Schizosaccharomyces pombe: one gene and its partners. The protein of the gene in region 2 purifies or fractionates together with the protein of the main gene of each other region. This does not show direct contact. Each region holds a gene or a part of one and is shown on either strand. Other genes may lie near its edges. The genes, in order: rpn11, mts4, rpn1302 and rpn501.

The links.
Region 1: the proteins of mts4 (region 2) and rpn11 purify together in Schizosaccharomyces pombe (affinity purification with western blotting; 4 studies listed by BioGRID, with this or other methods). This does not show direct contact.
Region 3: the proteins of mts4 (region 2) and rpn1302 purify together in Schizosaccharomyces pombe (affinity purification with western blotting, with the first as the bait; one study listed by BioGRID). This does not show direct contact.
Region 4: the proteins of mts4 (region 2) and rpn501 purify together in Schizosaccharomyces pombe (affinity purification with western blotting; 3 studies listed by BioGRID). This does not show direct contact.

What each region holds. Positions count from the first base shown.
Region 1 is NC_003424.3:3,008,627-3,012,807, forward strand, and holds rpn11 (19S proteasome regulatory subunit, ubiquitin-specific protease subunit Rpn11), read left to right. Parts: upstream 1-2,019; 5' UTR 2,020-2,352; coding exon 2,353-3,279; 3' UTR 3,280-3,681; downstream 3,682-4,181. Other genes in the region: RNA polymerase III-inhibiting protein Maf1, read right to left, coding at 1-169, 534-632, 686-691; SPOM_SPAC31G5.21 (FAM32A family protein), read left to right, coding at 1,461-1,817; glycine decarboxylase T subunit gcv1, read left to right, coding at 3,967-4,181. UniProt on the Schizosaccharomyces pombe protein: Acts as a regulatory subunit of the 26 proteasome which is involved in the ATP-dependent degradation of ubiquitinated proteins.
Region 2 is NC_003423.3:2,850,577-2,856,119, forward strand, and holds mts4 (19S proteasome regulatory subunit Rpn1/Mts4), read right to left. Parts: upstream 3,527-5,543; 5' UTR 3,477-3,526; coding exon 3,339-3,476; exon of another isoform or gene 3,292-3,338; coding exon 754-3,291; 3' UTR 545-753; downstream 1-544. Other genes in the region: morphogenesis protein Mor2, read right to left, coding at 4,074-5,543. UniProt on the Schizosaccharomyces pombe protein: Acts as a regulatory subunit of the 26 proteasome which is involved in the ATP-dependent degradation of ubiquitinated proteins.
Region 3 is NC_003421.2:897,047-901,219, reverse strand, and holds rpn1302 (19S proteasome regulatory subunit rpn1302), read left to right. Parts: upstream 1-2,000; 5' UTR 2,001-2,064; coding exon 2,065-2,195; exon of another isoform or gene 2,196-2,198; intron 2,199-2,318; exon of another isoform or gene 2,319-2,392; coding exon 2,393-2,477; exon of another isoform or gene 2,478-2,587; coding exon 2,588-3,538; 3' UTR 3,539-3,612; downstream 3,613-4,173. Other genes in the region: mcm4 (MCM complex subunit Mcm4/Cdc21), read right to left, coding at 1-818. UniProt on the Schizosaccharomyces pombe protein: Component of the 26S proteasome, a multiprotein complex involved in the ATP-dependent degradation of ubiquitinated proteins.
Region 4 is NC_003424.3:1,264,588-1,268,311, reverse strand, and holds rpn501 (19S proteasome regulatory subunit Rpn501), read right to left. Parts: upstream 2,044-3,724; coding exon 1,960-2,043; intron 1,913-1,959; coding exon 665-1,912; 3' UTR 532-664; downstream 1-531. Other genes in the region: rsm22-cox11 tandem protein cox1101, read left to right, coding at 1-407; chaperonin-containing T-complex epsilon subunit Cct5, read left to right, coding at 2,770-3,724. UniProt on the Schizosaccharomyces pombe protein: Acts as a regulatory subunit of the 26S proteasome which is involved in the ATP-dependent degradation of ubiquitinated proteins. Required for proper proteasome assembly.

The DNA of each region.
Region 1 (4,181 bases), on a different chromosome or scaffold from region 2:
CAATGTACATAAAGGTACGACGAGAAGAGGACTGATCAAGAGGCCCAAATGGACTTTGCTGAGTTAGGCTGAAAGCATATTCCGGTGATTTACTACTCGATAATGCAAATAGATCCTCCTGACACCGATTCTCTATAGCTTTAAAGAGTTTCTTGTCAGAATTTGTACTCTATAAAATTGTTAGCACATTTTATATATCAGTATATTCATGTCTTGGTAAGTTAATAAAGCAGAATGCTCCCGAATCTAAAAACAGACACTCAGACGCGGTACTCCATTTGGTAAACAACAATCGTAATCATTTTGGTTTCAGATTTGAAACGTAAAGAAACTAAATAAATAATCACAAAAAAAAACAATGATTATATAATTAGCTGATCTTGTACAAGAGACCAAAAAGAACCAAAATTGTTCAACTTAGTGATTTGACCACGCAAGAAAAGAGGATCATTATTAAAAGCATATGTCAAATTCAAGAACCAATGTACAATTTTCCCTTTACCAGACTAACCAAGCTTACAAGTTAAATTTACCTTGGTTGTATAGAGCTCGCACTTTCCGCGTATGCGACAATCATCGGCATCAAATGATAAGGCATTATTGACTGTATCTAAATCGGCAAGCTCAAGAAACTGGTCACAAAAACAGGGTTTAGTAAGACAAATAAAAAGTAAAATATATTTACCTTCATAGTAATTGTAATGTAATCAATTCAATTGTTTCCTTTCATTAAAAAGAGGTTTGCTGTGGTTAGGTATCAGCGTCGCGTCCAACGTCAATGTCACTTCTATTAAGGGTACGTTAATCTTAAATAACAGACTATAAGCTAATAGTAAGCGTAAGGAGTTTGTTAGATGTCGGTTCAACATTTTACCGAAGCTTAATATATTTGAGAAACCATCCCGATGCATTGCCATTTATTTTTTTATGCTGTTTTAAGGTACTTAACCGTATAATGTGTTAAAGTCCAAGTCGAAATGCATTTATTTATTCATAAAAATAAATATTTTAAGTAATTAAAAGGAGTCTAATAAAAACAAATCAGTTTAAAAATATCGATTATAAGTTTTTCCGTATTTTTCTGATGAGCATTGAGTAACTCAATTTTTCAATATTCAATTTTTTCTACAATTCTTAAAAGAAACGGTTCAAGTATCATTATTAACCAAAAAAAAAGTAATAATAATTTATTTAATGAATAATCGTCGCTTCTAGAGTATACTTGTACAATGAAATTGTACATATATATACATATTTTTTTTAAATTGAGCCCATTAATAAACTTGCACAACATACATCAATTCTTTTATTGTATTACTTATTACACTTTTACTATTAAATTATATTTATTTTATTTTATTTTTAAATTCAATTCCTAGTGTAAAATGTATTAAACTGTTTCACCTCTTATCGTACAGTTCAAACATTTTGCTTACACCAACTTACCTTTACCAAGAACTATGGACTACGTTGGTGGTTCTCTAAAACTGAAAAATGTAAAAAAAAAACCTTTGAAAAAGAAAAAGAAGGATTCTAAAAAACTTGCTGAAAAAGTTCAAGAGCATTCTTCCCGAGATAAATCACCTTTAGAAGAAAATGGCGTATCTACGTACCAAATGCTTCGCTCAAAGGATACAGACTCGGCTATGCCGATGACGGAAGCACAGAAACATTTTGAGTCTGTTCAGGAACAAAGATTACTTCAGAAAGCAAAGAATGAGCGATTGAAAACACATAAAGACAGGATTGATGAGTATAATAGACTACTGGAAAGTCAGTCGGAGCATTTTGACATGCCTAAAATTGGACCCGGCTAGTTTTCAAAACACGTCCTTTTTTCTCTCAATAGCTATACTTAAATAGCAATGGATGCCTCCTCTATTCTGCATAGTTTTTCTCCATCCACCTACCATATTCTTTTATGAATTACGCACTCTAATGAAATCACTATTTTATTTTAACAATACGCATTATACCTCATTATTGTTATAGCTATTCATTTGTCTCTAGAAAAAACCTGTTTATAGCCAACTACCACGTAAACGTATACTAGCTGCCTAAGTGAGACCAAAGACATAGAATCTTGTATATTCGTTTTGTATAGTGGTTGAAACATATAGAAAGAACTTCCTTTGAAGAACAAGCACATTATAGTGACCTTTGATTGTTTTTGTCGTCTTACTAAATATCAGTGAACAGCATTAACGTTTTGGTAACTTTATTTAAATACTTATACTGAGTTTCTCATTTAATCTCCAATTACACTTTTATTTGCGGTTATTTGAGAGGAACCCCACTGATACTGATAAACTCTCATATTTCAATACATACATACGAGTCATATTTTTCGCGATGGAATCTTTACAAAGATTGTTACAAGGTGCCCGCATGGGTACTGGTATGATGGGAGATCAGCCTCTTGTTGATAATTCCGAGTGTGTATACATTTCATCTCTAGCTTTGTTAAAAATGCTTCGTCATGGGCGACATGGTACACCAATGGAAGTTATGGGTTTGATGTTAGGAGAATTCGTTGATGACTTTACAGTACGTGTTGTTGATGTTTTTGCAATGCCTCAATCTGGTACAGGTGTCAGTGTAGAAGCAGTCGATCCAGTTTTCCAAAAAAATATGATGGATATGCTTAAGCAAACAGGACGGCCAGAAATGGTTGTAGGTTGGTATCATTCTCACCCGGGTTTTGGTTGTTGGCTTTCTAGTGTCGATATCAACACCCAACAATCATTTGAGCAATTAACACCAAGAGCGGTGGCAGTTGTTGTCGACCCTATTCAATCTGTCAAAGGAAAGGTGGTAATTGACGCCTTTCGATTGATTAATCCGTCTACCCTAATGATGGGTCAGGAACCCAGACAAACAACTTCCAATTTGGGTCACATCAACAAACCTAGCATTCAAGCTTTAATTCACGGTTTAGGAAGACATTACTACTCCCTTCGCATCAATTACAAAAAAACTGAGCTTGAAGAGATCATGCTTTTGAATTTACACAAACAGCCTTGGGCACATGGTCTTTTACTTGAAAACTTTAATTCTGCTGCGGAAAAAAATCATGCTTCTATTGATAAGATGAAATCCTTGTCAGAACAGTACACTGAACGTGTTCAAAATGAAGTGACTTTAAGTCCGGAGCAACTTCGTATTCAATACGTTGGTAAACAAGATCCCAAGAAGCATCTTGACGCTGAGGTTCAGAAATGTATAGACAACAATATTTCTTCCATGTTAGCTTGTATGCTTGATTCCGTTGCCTTCTAGTACATCTATTTTGGTAATACCTCTTTTCCATCATCCGTTTTTTATGAGCTACTTTCTTTCCTTACTCAAAGCATTTATGAACTGTTTGAATAATCCTGTTGGTCGAATCTGATACTACTTTTTTACGATTTCATATTCGTGACTAGGAGTACATTTTTTTTAAAACTTTTTACATGATCGTGGAGTATGATTGATGATATTTTGGTAAGCTCTTGAGATTGCGAGCGTTTGCTTTGATGGATTCTTATATATTTTTTTTCATAGATCCTTAAGATATACCTGCACACCAGTCTTTCAAGCTTCTTCCCAATAAGAAAAAATTGTTTCAATTATTGAATTTGTAAACATCTTCTACCAACATGTTAAAAATTTTGTTTCCTTGATTGTTTGTAATGTACCTGTAAGGATCGTCGATCAGCGTCAAACCATTGAAGTTGAATACATAAAGGTATAACTGAGGCTACTTAATTTATTATATGACATTTTAGCGTGATATGATTTTTTGATGTAGCATGATATTGTACTTGTCAAGTATTCCTATCTATCTTTCAACCTTTGCCAACCACTAACGTATGTTGGTTTACGGAATCAACAAACAATTGTTTATTAAGAAGTTTAACAAGGTTTCTTTTTTATTTTCAACGTTTAAGACTTGCTCCAATATTTAACTGGTTTTTTGAATTCATAATGAATAGATCTGCTGCTTTATCAATCTTAAAGCGCCAAAGTTCTACGGCAGCTTCTTCTTCACTCAAGAGAACTCCTTTATATGATCTGCATTTAAAAGAAGGAGCTACCATAGTCCCCTTTGCTGGTTTTTCAATGCCAGTACAGTATAAAGGTCAAACCATTAGTGCCAGTCATAAGTGGACACGGGAGCATTCTGGCTTATTTGATGTAAG
Region 2 (5,543 bases):
TTGTTCAATCAACACATAATAGTCCCCTAATAGTCATATATGACATTTCTATCAATTCAAATACGAGCGTCATTCCATTTTTTCACATAACGAAATGAATGCACAACTTACCTGTGGAAATGAATTAACGATGAGCAGACTTTGGGACTGCATATGATGAAACATAATAACAATTCAAGATAATATTTGAAATTAAATAAAGCTATTCACCGTTATTCCCTAAATGCGAAGTATCTAATGTGCAGTTTTACCTTTAATGTAATGGTTAGGTATTGAAACAGTAGTAGAAACGTGACATAAGGGATGCGTCGCAAAGCAGTCAACTCCTTTGTCGGATTATCAGAAGATGATTAAAATTCATTCTTTGATAATTGCATTAAGCTCCAACGCAGGTCTAAATTTTTTTTACTAAGAAATGGTAGCTCCTTAGTTCGGGCAATTTTTATCCAACAAGACGTTTCTGCAGTGGACGTTCTATTACCTTTTGGTAACGCGACAAATACAAAAAAAAAGAAACAGAAATTATAATCCTAATTACAAATTTGCAATCATGTATATATACTTTCCGCTACTTCAATTTAGAACAATACTAGAACATTTCTAATCTAAAAAATACGAATTTAACATAATCGAAATAGAAAAATAAATGTATCGGGCGCTGAATTTCAACAATCCAGTTTGTTTTATTAATAGCAAAGAACTGGAAATCAAGCATTAGTACATAAAAATTGTAGTCATTTAACTTCAAGTCATTTAAGCGGTCATTTCAATGTCCTCCGTATTTTTTTTTAAAATAACAATACCTTCCAACGAAGTCAAAGGTGTATATGCTTCCGTCGCTAGTTCAGCTCGCTCATTGTGATGCAACAAAACTGGTGTAGTATGTGTGACCCAACCCGTAATGACCTTGGGACGACCAGCTTGACCGACCACATCTACTGCTTGACCAACTCGAACGCTTACTGGTAAATATTGACCGTCCTCACCAAGGGTAATGAGCATTCGGGGTCGTATTGCTAACGTAATAGCATAAAGCAACCAATGCGAGGTATCAAGGACAAAGGTATTTGCATCTAGCATAGCTAATACAACAGTCATAAGACCAGCAAAAGCAGTTTGACCAAGAATCTGCCGTTCTGTATGATAAGGGTTAAGCGTCATTGTTCCTTTTCCTAAGTAAAGTAAACCTTGAGCGATACGAACCATGAATAGAGCGTTGGATTCTTTGTGATAATAACTGGCTAGTTGGCGGAGTAATTGAGCCAAACGCGCATTACTAGTACCAGCACCAACAAGACCCATTGCAAAGATTGCGTTGTAAGCAACATCCAAATCATTATCGTGACTATAGCGTGAAAGCGTGTCAAATATACGCATTTGAGGATTGGAAGCGGAAAGCAATCCTAATGCAAGTGGTATAGCTTTTCGAATAGAGGGTTCGCCATAATGCATCATGTGATCGAAATGTCTCAAAACCATTTCTGCTCCAATATCTTCACCCATAGCTATAGTAGCAACACCAAGTGCTGCAAATGTCTGGATAGTAGTCTCACTCTCCTTAGCATCATCACTGGGAGGTTCACTACAGATATGAAGCAATTTTTGGATGTGAAGAACGTTGCCAGTTCCAGCATACGAGCAAATATCCACCAAAATTTCAGCTTGTCGTGCAATTTTACCCTCAATAGCTTTCAGTGTTTCGACTGTAGCATCCGCAAGGTCTTGTTTACCATTAAAAAGAAGGGCAAGGCCAAGAGCCATAAAACGGCCCCATTGATCATTTTGGGCAGACTCTTCACGCTCCATTAGAGTTTGTAAAATTGTGCTAGCTACATCGCCGTTGCAAGTACCAACAAAAATAAGACCTAAAGATAATGCGGCTAAGCAGGATAATTGCATAGGGCAATCGGTATCCGTAACAATTGGAGATAACATGTCGAGTAAATCTTCGCGATTAGCTCCACTGTATGCAAGTCCTAAACCTAAAATCGCTGATGCACGAAGCTTTACGGAGCCAGTTTCAAGGTATTCAGAAAGAATTGCCATAGCTGGATCAGCTTCATTTCTTACTGCAACATTTGTAACACCAATTCCCAACAATGCACCAGCCTTGGTATTCTCCTCAGAAGAGTATAAATACTTATCCAACAAAGACAATCCCATGTCAACATTCCATAATTGTAATAGGCCAATAGAAGCTGTAGCACTTATTAAACCAGATTCTTTATTTTTATAAATCCAAGACGTTTTTTCGTCATCGACCAAAATTAATCTGTCGTTACTGTATCCGGCATTGACAAGGGCATTGACAAAAGTGTTAGCTAAATTTTGTTTGGCGGAATACACTCCTGATGCACCCAATCCAGTCCTAGCCACTTCTAAATGTGTTTTAAAGATATCTTCCGGAACTTTAGGATCCATAAGGTTCAACTCCTTTCCTAGATAATGAAAGTGATCAGATAAATGAGTGTTATTTAAAGCATCGTTTAACTCCTCGTCTCCCATATCCATAGGTATTTGCTGACGAGCAAGCATGTAAGACATTTGCTTTTTCAACAAGGGATCCGTAGCAGCTTCACAGTCTTCTTTTATCAAAGACATATCATCAAGGCGGATAGCAACGTTAAGTGCTTGTGTAAGCTGGTCAAACTTCCGATAAATAGCATGCGCTGTTCTTAACATGGCGACATCTTCAGGAAATGGCAAAAGATTAACGCAACTGGTAATATAAAGACAAACGCGAGAAGCATTATCAAGTTCTACGAAGGGTACAACTTTTTCAATAGCACCCAATTCTTGTAATAAATCAATAGCATCAGCCTCAGCATTATGAGTAAGGAAGAATGGAACAATGGTCAATGCAAGTTCCATAAGATCGTCGGTTGGCGCTTCCTCTTCCTGGCGACTGGCAAACTCTTCTTCTATTTCGGAAGCCAAATGGCGAACATACTCATGACCCCATAAAGAAGGATCAGTGGTAACGCCCTGAAGACGATATTTTAATGATTCATGTTTGCTTGTATTACTATAGGACATTCCTAATACTGAAAGGATATCAGCAAGTTGAGTCTTCTGAGGGCTTTGCGGCCAGGAATCATAGATTTTAACGAGAGTAAAATAATGTGGTCTAAGAAACTTCAAAGGCTTTGGAACGGCCGTCATAGAGGAGGTAGAAGTACGAATTATTTCTTTAAGCTGAGTGAGACTGGAACCCACCAACTCAGGGGTGGCATCTTGAACAGCTTGAACTAATAATTCCAAATCATTTTTTAATTGTAAATCTTCTTCAGACTATTTGGTTAGTTTTCATTTTGAAAAATAATAGGGCTTTAACTTACTAAATCCTCTAATTCATCCCTTTCTTTGGTATTGTTCGTTGAGTTTCTGTCATTAGTTTCTGAAGTCTTTGTCCCTTTTTTGTCATTTAATGCATCATTACCACTCGGGGACTTCGAACTAATGTCTTTAGAACTCATTTTCTAGATTCCTAAGATTTTCTGAAACTGAGTAGTAATGTGTTGTCGTTGAAACTACTCTCACCCTAGTCAGAACCAGTATACCGATTGTTTACGTATTTGATTATTTATCACGTTAATTAGATTTAACAACACGCTATGCTTTCTTTATGGATCAGTACAAATGAAAAAATAATCTATTATTTAAGTTCGTCAATGTATTACCATTATTACACGATGCTTGACATTATTATCTCATGCCTCTTTTCTTATAAGAATTGTTGTAAAATAACTCGTTATTGATTGACTCTTTATGTTTTCATTTGTTTAAATACGGACATATGAAACCGATTTATATCACTACACCTAATTACCATAGTTATAGCTTGATTTTTAATAACATGACACGCTCTAAGATTTTGAATTCTAAAATTAAAGGCTGTAATGGTCAAAGAATTTTCGAGTTTAAATTAACAAAAAAATGCAAATGATAAAATAATGAAAACAAACGAATAGTTTTATATAGTACATCCATAAACGTTGCCGACTAATTTTCCATCTTACACACATGAACACCATAAAAGCTTGTATAAGTATACTAAACCAGTATAGGCAAATTCAATGCCAACCGCGGGATCGAGTTGTATCAGTAAAAGATTCATTGCTTTCACTTCCTTGAAACATTGTACGTAAATGATAATAATTTTCATGAGTTTCATGGTCTTCCACTGAATCTTCATTAATCATAGAAACAGATTGATCTAACATGGAATTCCAATTTTTATTTTGTTTCAATTCTGCTGCACCTCGTATTTCGTCCAAAGATAAACGATGTTCCGCCGAATTACCAAGTGCCTTTAAAGAAGGATAATAAGATTCAGCATCCATAAAGTAATGAGGTTTTAATTTAGAGATAAAAGACGACTTTCTTACTCTCACCGGCGGCATGTCCATCGGCAATTTTGCTGATGCATCAATTTCTTCGTTCGGTGAATAATCTCTGAAGGATTCTGTTTCATAAGCCATAAGACCTTGTTTCTGCCGTCTAAGGCTACCTGAAAGAATCGTAGCTATCCGATCGTCATAATCTTCCGATGTAATATCTAATTTTGGATCAACGGCGACATCAGGCTGAATTAACTCTTCATCCCTATCTTCAGCGAAGAAGACATCGAGGCTATGAAGAGTTGTAACTAGCTCTCCTAGTGAATTTTCGTCAAGCGAACCATGACTGTCAGTAGGAACGTGTCGCGGATAATTGGATACTTCATCAGCATGAAATCTAACCTCTGGCGTACTCACAGAAGCCTCGGTAGTGGAACAGCTATAAAATACGGCATGTACGTTGCTTTTAGTTATAGCAGCTGCATATTCAGAGTTTGGTTCATACCATCCATCCTCGTCAGGTATTTCAAAAAATCCAGCCAGACGATCATCTGAATTTTTTAATTTAGGGTCAACCATTAATAACTTTAAGGTTTGCATATCTGTGGGAGCAGATACATGAAGCACTGAGTCGGTTAGCAAAGACAACGCTTCCATTGCATAACCAGTAGGTAAGAGTCGAAGAAGCGGTGAAACAATACCTAATCCATGTTCGGAATATATAGGTTTTTGGAAATCAATTAATGGAAAGAGTTCTTTTAACACATCTAACGTAGACTTTCTAAACCAAGTCAAATTATTTGATAGAAACATCGTAAGAGTACTAACAATTTCTAGCTCGTAATCTTCAAAATAATAGGAGTATAGGTATGAAACCGTATGTTTTAAAAAATCCTTAATTGACCTGAATTTACGTTTGAGATATGTGTCAAGAAGCTCAATCAATGCATCATCGTTAAATTGTGAAGCAAGAGTAGCTAATTTATGACAGAAAACACTTAAATCAAAAGTAATAGGATCTGAATGCTCGTATGTATATACCATCGCTGGTAATGACACCAACAAGCAGGATAGTATCCTCAAATAACCAACGCCAACCAAATCATTATCCTTGAAATCCATCAGCAAAAGGAAAAAATTCATGGTAATTTCAAAAGAATTAGTTGAACGGAAACCTTTTAATATTAAAATCTGAAGACCTTG
Region 3 (4,173 bases), on a different chromosome or scaffold from region 2:
ATGTCATTAAGAACATCTTCGGGAGGATTAGTTCCTAACAAGTCTAGCATAACGTCTTTAATGGTTTGATCCATGATAGGAATGATTTCTTGAGGGTATGAGTAAAGCTGGTGATATAGCTTCTTGGTTGGGGGATAATGCTTTAAATCCTGAACATCAAGATTTAATATTTCCAAACCCATAATACGCATGTTTCGTAGCGCTTCAATATACACTAGTTGTTCGGCATCAGGAGGTGGCATAAGTTCATTTCTGTATTCAGGTCGATACTTTTTCTTAAACCCACGTAGAAATCCACGAAAGGAAGCGATACTTTCTTGAATAGATACATTTGTTCCCCAAATGACACGGACAGTGTCATCAGCTACTTCACTGCTTGGGTGCGCCTGACTAAACGTGAGTGCATCTGACCCAGAAAACAACAAGCTACTAGGAGTGCTTACCCCGGGACGTTGAGGGTCAACTTCTCTTCGACGAGATGGGGTAGACATTTGCACGCTAGAATGGATGTCTCCACGTCTTGTCGAGCGCGGTGTTCTCTGCGAACTACTGTCAAGGAACAAGTCATTACGCTGAGATAAAAGATGAGAACGTGAACTCTGAGGAATGTTTGGACCTGGTGAACTAGATTCAAACAGTAAAGGAGAGGAAGCGAGAGGTGTACGCGCTGTAGTCCTCGGTGTTGTAAGGCGTGTAGAACCAGGAGACGAAGCAGGAAAAAATAACGGAGAAGAATCCACTGCTTCTCTTGAAGAGCTGTTAGCTCTTCCAGGAGTCCTCAACTCATTGGCTCTGCCACTTTGCTGACTAGAGGACATGACTCGTGGTGGGTGTAGAAAGACAGTGTAAGGGAGTAGAGTAACTACTCATAAACATACAACAATGAAGAGATAAATAGCATAGCAAAGATTTAAATAATTGGAAATTTGTATAATTTTTTAACAATTTGTCATATTCTCCATTGATCATCAAGCTACCAGTAATTGACTATGAAAATGTAAACTAAAAAACTTTGCGACACTAGATATTAGGATCAATTAAAGCAAATTTGTTATCATAAATAAGGTATTATGAATTTGTTATTGACTTACTTCCTTTTAAGTGATATTCTATTTTTTTGGACGAATGAAGAGAAATATGAAAAGAATGTTGAAATAAAGGATTACATTGCTTTAATTAAACGTTATGCTAGTTTAACATTTTGAGATGATCGTTTTTGCAATTTGGAACTACCAGTTGTATTTGAAGGTCGAATCTATTAACTGTGATTTGACGCTAATTGAAGAGGGCAGATGGTGATTTAGTAATTTTACTAATAATATTTCTTAAAATAAGGTTTATTTTGAATTTTCTCTCATATTGAATACCTGAGTTGTTATTATATTAACCATTTGTAGAGTTCATTTGACCATTCGACTACTGGACTGTCTCTAATAAAAAAAACTTAAGTCTGTATATTATGAGTTATATGGTGTGAATTTCAAATAGTGTATGAATGTATTTTTCTATTATTTCTAGTGAAATACCATTGTGTAGGACGCATACTTTTTCTCGATTATGTTTTGCTCTTCAAAACCTGAAAGGATTATAGACATTTATTGTATCTTGATTTTCTTCTATGTATAATTGGTGAAAACTGGTTTATTCTGTTTTACTATTGATGCCATTAACGATGATACAAAAATTGGCTTATGTCTTTTCAAGGCCCTTTAAGAGATGAATTCCACTGCATAGTGGAACGTTCCTTTTCCTTTTAAAGTGTAGTATTAATTTGCTATTAAAACATCTTTTTAGGCGAAACCATCAAATGCGGCTTGATAAATCAGCTTCAAATATTAGAGCAGTTAACCACCTAAAAAGATTGTCTATTACATGATAAAAGATGATTATAGTGGCGACAATTAGAAAATTAAATGATTTTGAGAAATCATGTCTATAGACATGATACGTTTGTGTGGATTACTTTGCTCACTTGCACTGTGTACACTGCATACTCAACTATACCACAACAATTCACAAGGTCAATAATCGTGAGCTTTTGAGTTGACAAAAAATAAATTACAAATGGAATCAGTTTTTGGAAGAGTAAGAAACGAGACTAGCGAGAGAGGAAAGTATGGATTAGTCTCCGTAAAAGCTGGAAAACTTCAAAGAAAGCCAGGAACGAATATTCTGCAAGCTGATCACCGAAAAGGGTATGTACTATAATAATAATATAGATAGTAGTCCTTTCTACTGGGAAAACGAAATTCTACCCAAAGAATTGTTTATGAAGCTTCTTTGCATGTTTACGTTGGAAGGATGCGTGAAAATCCACACTGTTGGGTTTTGTGGAATTGTTTTCTGTTTATAAAGTTAAAAGATCTGATTTTTAATACTGACATTTGTTTAGAGTTATCTATATGCAAATGGCTTCTGATGAATTATTGCATTTCTATTGGAAAGAAAGGGCCAGGGTTTCTAGAGAAGTAGAAGATGTATGAAGACAATTTAAATCAATTGCAAAGTATACCTATTTATATATATAAATTTACTTTTGCGTTTTTTTTTTTTTAATTTGGTTTATGTTTACTAACATATAATGAAGGACTACATCATATTTCCAGAAGAAGCAGAGTTTATCAAAATTGATGAATGTACCACGGGACGCGTATATGCACTAAAATTTAAATCCTCTTCGCAGATTCATTTTTACTGGATGCAGGAGTATAGTGATGAAAAAGACAAGGAAACAGCTTCCTTAATCAATCAATTAATTGCTGACCCTGTGAATACGACTCGGACTATCAACTCACATAATAATTCTAGCAGTAGAGGTACGGATGATTCATCAACCAGCCAACTGCTGCAACTGTTTGGTGCAGCAAGCCAAGATGCTCTGCAAGACTTTAACTGGGAAGTTTTATCACCTACAGCCGAAGCACCGGCTATCCTGCCAAGATTTCCTAACGTTAACGAGTCAGCAAACATGTATCGTGCGTCAAGTGAGTCGAATTTGAATGGACCACATGCTACAGCTGGTGAGAATGGCGAAGATCACGAGGAGGCAACGGCCTCCCCTTTGGATGAAAACATCGATTATACTCATTCACGTACGTTGGAATTATTAGAGCAACTTCAGCCCTTGATTTTGAATGAAACGACGTTTGTCGAGCCTTTCTCCATTGACAGAGAATCTCATCGTGTGATTACACATCCTAGAGTGTATCCCAAGATTTTCCCACATTCTCCTTCCGACCTTTTGCGCATCAGCGGTCGTGCAGAGTTGAGCGAAAATCGAGATTTTTTTAAGCACTTGTCGAGTTTAATGGAGGCAGTTGCAAAACCCGAGTCAGAGTCGTTGCGTGAAATTTGCAACTTGAGTTTAGAGCAAGTGCAAAGTGCTAGTGGAGCTGAATTATTTTTGCATGCGTTGTACGACCGTTTGGTGAATGAAGGGGTGATTGTGATTTCGCACATAACACAAGAAGGTTCTGATGGCGAAGTTGAGGAGGAAGGAGATGTTGAAATGAGAGAAAGTAACGAAAAGGACGAATAAGAAGCGTGGAGAGGAAAAGACGAATTCGTATATATATATTTTAATATATGTTATGTTTATGAACAACAAGCTAGCACAAAGAACGTGATGTAATTGTAAAAGTAGAGTAATCGTATTTCAACATTTAAGCTTCCTTTTTTTTTTTTTTTTGTTTATTTGTTGTTGACGGGAGAGGATTGTTGCAAAGTACTTGTAGGGGTATAACAGCTTGTATAGGGAATGGTTTCACCTTTCTCGTTTATCTGATATTCTTCCAAATTTACAATGAATTATATATCAATTGCATTAAGCTACATATCGCAATATCATTAAGAATTCAAGAAATACTTCTCTTGCGTGAAAGAAGTCTTTAAGCTGCTTGAACATAAATCAAAAAAAAAATAAATTTATTAACTAAATATAGAGTTACTAGTACCCCATTAATCATGACTGAGCAGAACTTATCGCCAGGAGCCTTTGAGCTCACTGTGAAAGCATCGCATTCTAGTGTTGCCTTAAACTACATACTGCATAATTACAATTTCTCAATCAAACATATCGATGACTATGCGCAACTTCTTAAACCATATACCGATTGCATTTTCTTATTTTAAATCAATATACAGCTTCGTACTCTCACACTAAAACTACATACC
Region 4 (3,724 bases), on a different chromosome or scaffold from region 2:
CTCGTAAAGACAATAAAAGAATCAGAGTTACTTTCAATGGCGACGTTGCAGGAAACCTTAGCTGGAAGCTTTGGCCCCAGCAGCGTGAAATATATGTTCTTCCAGGCGAGACTGCTCTAGGGTTTTATACTGCTGAAAATACGTCCGACCATGACATAGTAGGAGTTGCAACTTATAATATAGTACCAGGTCAAGCCGCTGTTTACTTCTCAAAGGTTGCATGCTTTTGCTTTGAAGAGCAAAAGCTAGATGCTCATGAAAAAGTAGACTTGCCTGTGTTTTTCTTTATAGATCCAGAATTTGCTGATGATCCAAATATGAAGGATATTGACGATATTCTTCTAAGCTATACTTTTTTTGAGGCCAGATATGATACCAATGGCAATCTTTTAACTAAACTCAACTGAAATAAAAATTAAGGGACTACATATTGAGTGAACTACAATAATTTATTTAAAATAATTCATCAAGTTAACCTTCTAGTTACGAGACAAATAACAACGAAAATCACTACAAACTTACTAGAATAACTTTCTCCGAGGTTGCAATTCGACATTAAAACTATTGTATTCTCGTAAAAAAAGTTGAAGGCCTTTGAACCAATAGTATATTATTTAAATGACAAAGTCATGAAAGTAACGAAATGAAATAGAGACGGAACAATTTATTTGGCTACCGCCTGTTGAATAGAATTCATCATTTCTTCTTTTATAATAAGCTGTCTTACCTTTTCCAATTTTCCAAGAAGTTCAGTAATATTGGAACCCCACTCATTCAATTGCTCTTGCACATTTTGAGATTTCTTGAATGAAATGACTTGAGCTGGGCGATCAATCTTGGCATAGAAATGATGCTTTGCAATAAGATCGCAAAGAAATTGTTCTGTTTCGGAAGGACTCATATCCAACAACACTCCTAGACGACTGCAATGAATGCGGGAATAATAGTTTGCGACTACACGAATATTGTGTTCGATGACTCGCTTACGAAGTTCAGACCAACGTTTCTCACCTTTTTCATCATTTTCAGCAAAAACAGGATTACTCCTTAAAGCACTTCCATAGATTTCGGCAATTTTGGGCCATCTCATTAGTTCATTGACAATAAAGCACTTAACCAATTGTTGGAGTAAAGGAAGAGAATTTAGTTTATGGTCAGCATTAATTCGGTGAAGAAGATCTGCCTGCTCGTTATCATAAGGAGTAAGCAAGGCAAAGCAAACGACATTTTCTAATATTTCTTTCCATTTCTCGGGGTCCTCTTGAACCACGGCGGTGTCATAAACTGCTCGATAATATTTACAAACATCAAGATATGCATCGTCGTGCAAACCAATTCGGATTTTTTGCTCATAATACTTAAGTTTTAAAGACTGGACGTCTTCCTTTTCAAAAAACTTAACATTTATTTTCTTCGTGTAAGTAGATGCCATGTAGTAATCAGACCTCAGTAAGAATAATCTAACTTGATCCAAAATGAATGCAACTTTTTCCTTCAAATCAAAAGATCCGTAAGTCTCTACTGGTTCATTACACAAGATCTCCTGGGCAGATTTGATGTCACCTTGCTCTTCTTTAATCTGGGAAAGCAGTTGTGTAAGACGTGCCCTTTCTACTTCCACATATATCTTTCCATCAGTAATAGTACGCAATGTTTCAATCAAATTAATTTTTGTTTTTAAATCGTCAATTCCAGGAAGATAGGTCATTACATGTTGGACTAAACTTGTCATCGATTGTTTCAGTTGGCCATGCTTTTTAAAGAGACTAACCAACTGTTCGTTTAAGCCTTGGAAATCACCAGCTCGAAAGAGCAAATCAGCAATGTATATTAATACTTTCGTATTCGTGCTGGTGTCAGAAGCCTGACGAACTTGCTTCTCAAAAATCAAAAGCTTCTCGAGGTTCGCATCCTACAATTACAAGTTAGAGATTAGTCAAAATTTTGATTTTTACGTACGATGTCTATGGTATTAAGGTTATTTAAACTTTTTTGTAACTCTGCAAACTTCTCTGAGTAATCAACTTCCGGTTTCTGTTCCATTTCGATATGTGGGTTGTTGGAGAGTGTACAATTGAGACTAATATTGCGAGTTGATTTCTTATGATTACAGAGTTGTAACGCACGCTCGCAAAATACTTTAGTTGTCAGCAATAGTACACTACGCTATGATACACTACGTTGCGTATCACTATATGTCATATGTTGGAATACTAGCTAAGATCCGTTTATTGATAATCACGGGTAACTATCCGTCTATATACATAGATACCCGTTGATAACAACTATTTAGAAATATTATAAATAGCGTTACAACTGAACCTCGTTCCTCAGTTCAGTTATGAGCTATATTAGTGATAGGTAACATTATAACTCAGTTAATACAATACCTATACTCAGTTGCTACTTATACAACCTGTGTATTGTAATATAATAGACCACAAGGAAAACTCACCGCAGTTCTACGTATCCTTAAATCAGATACCAAACTGCGTAGCTTACATTAGTGAAATATAGTGCTTATTTCTTCTATAGAAGTTCGTAAAATGCTGAAGGGCCGCAACATATTAGACGTGCTTTCAACGACATTCTAAAGAATACACCCTAAGCTTGAACCTCAAGTTATTTCAACGATTTAAAGGGAAGTAAGAGATAAGGTTCTTTGTGAAATCGTTCAAAAGTATTTCAAGGATTTGGGTTAGTGTAGCGTTCAGTTTTATCACTTGAAATTCATTTGCATCGACAGTTCACAATAACAAGATGAGCAAAATGGCCGGTCTAGATAACGCTGTTATGGTCCGTGACGATCAAGGAAATCCTTTCATTTTAGTACGTGACCAGGAAAAGAAGAGAAGATTGCATGGAATTGATGCTGTAAAAAGTCACATATTAGCTACCAAAACAGTTGCTAATATTGTGCGTACTTCTTTGGGTCCCCGTGGACTGGATAAAATTTTAATCTCTCCAGATGGAGAGATTACGGTTACCAATGACGGTGCTACAATCCTCGACCAAATGGAGGTTGAACATCAAATTGCAAAGCTGTTAGTTCAGTTGTCTAAATCTCAAGATGATGAAATTGGGGATGGAACTACTGGTGTTGTTGTACTAGCAGGTGCATTACTGGAGCAGGCCGAGGCACTTATAGACAAAGGTATACATCCTATAAGGATTGCAGATGGTTACGAAAAGGCATGCCAGGTGGCTGTTAAACATTTAGATGCTATTTCAGATGTTGTCGACTTTAGTCCCGAAAACACTACTAATTTATTTCGTTCTGCTAAGACTAGTTTGGGTAGTAAAGTGGTTTCCAAAGCTCATGATCACTTTGCAAACATTGCTGTGGACGCGGTCCTTTCTGTTGCTGATTTGCAGAGAAAAGATGTTGATTTTGAACTCATTAAAGTAGATGGCAAGGTTGGTGGTTCAGTGGATGATACAAAGCTTGTAAAGGGTGTTGTGGTGGACAAAGACATGTCGCATCCACAAATGCCTCATCGTATTGAAAATGCAAAGATTGCTATTTTAACCTGCCCTTTTGAACCACCAAAGCCAAAAACTAAGCATAAGTTGGACATAACATCAGTGAGTGAATTTGAAGCCCTTCAAGCTTATGAGAAGGAAAAATTTCAGGAAATGATTAAGCATGTAAAGGACGCAGGAGCTAACCTTGTTATATGTCAATGGGGTTTTGATGATGAAGCAAACCATCTACTTCTTCAAA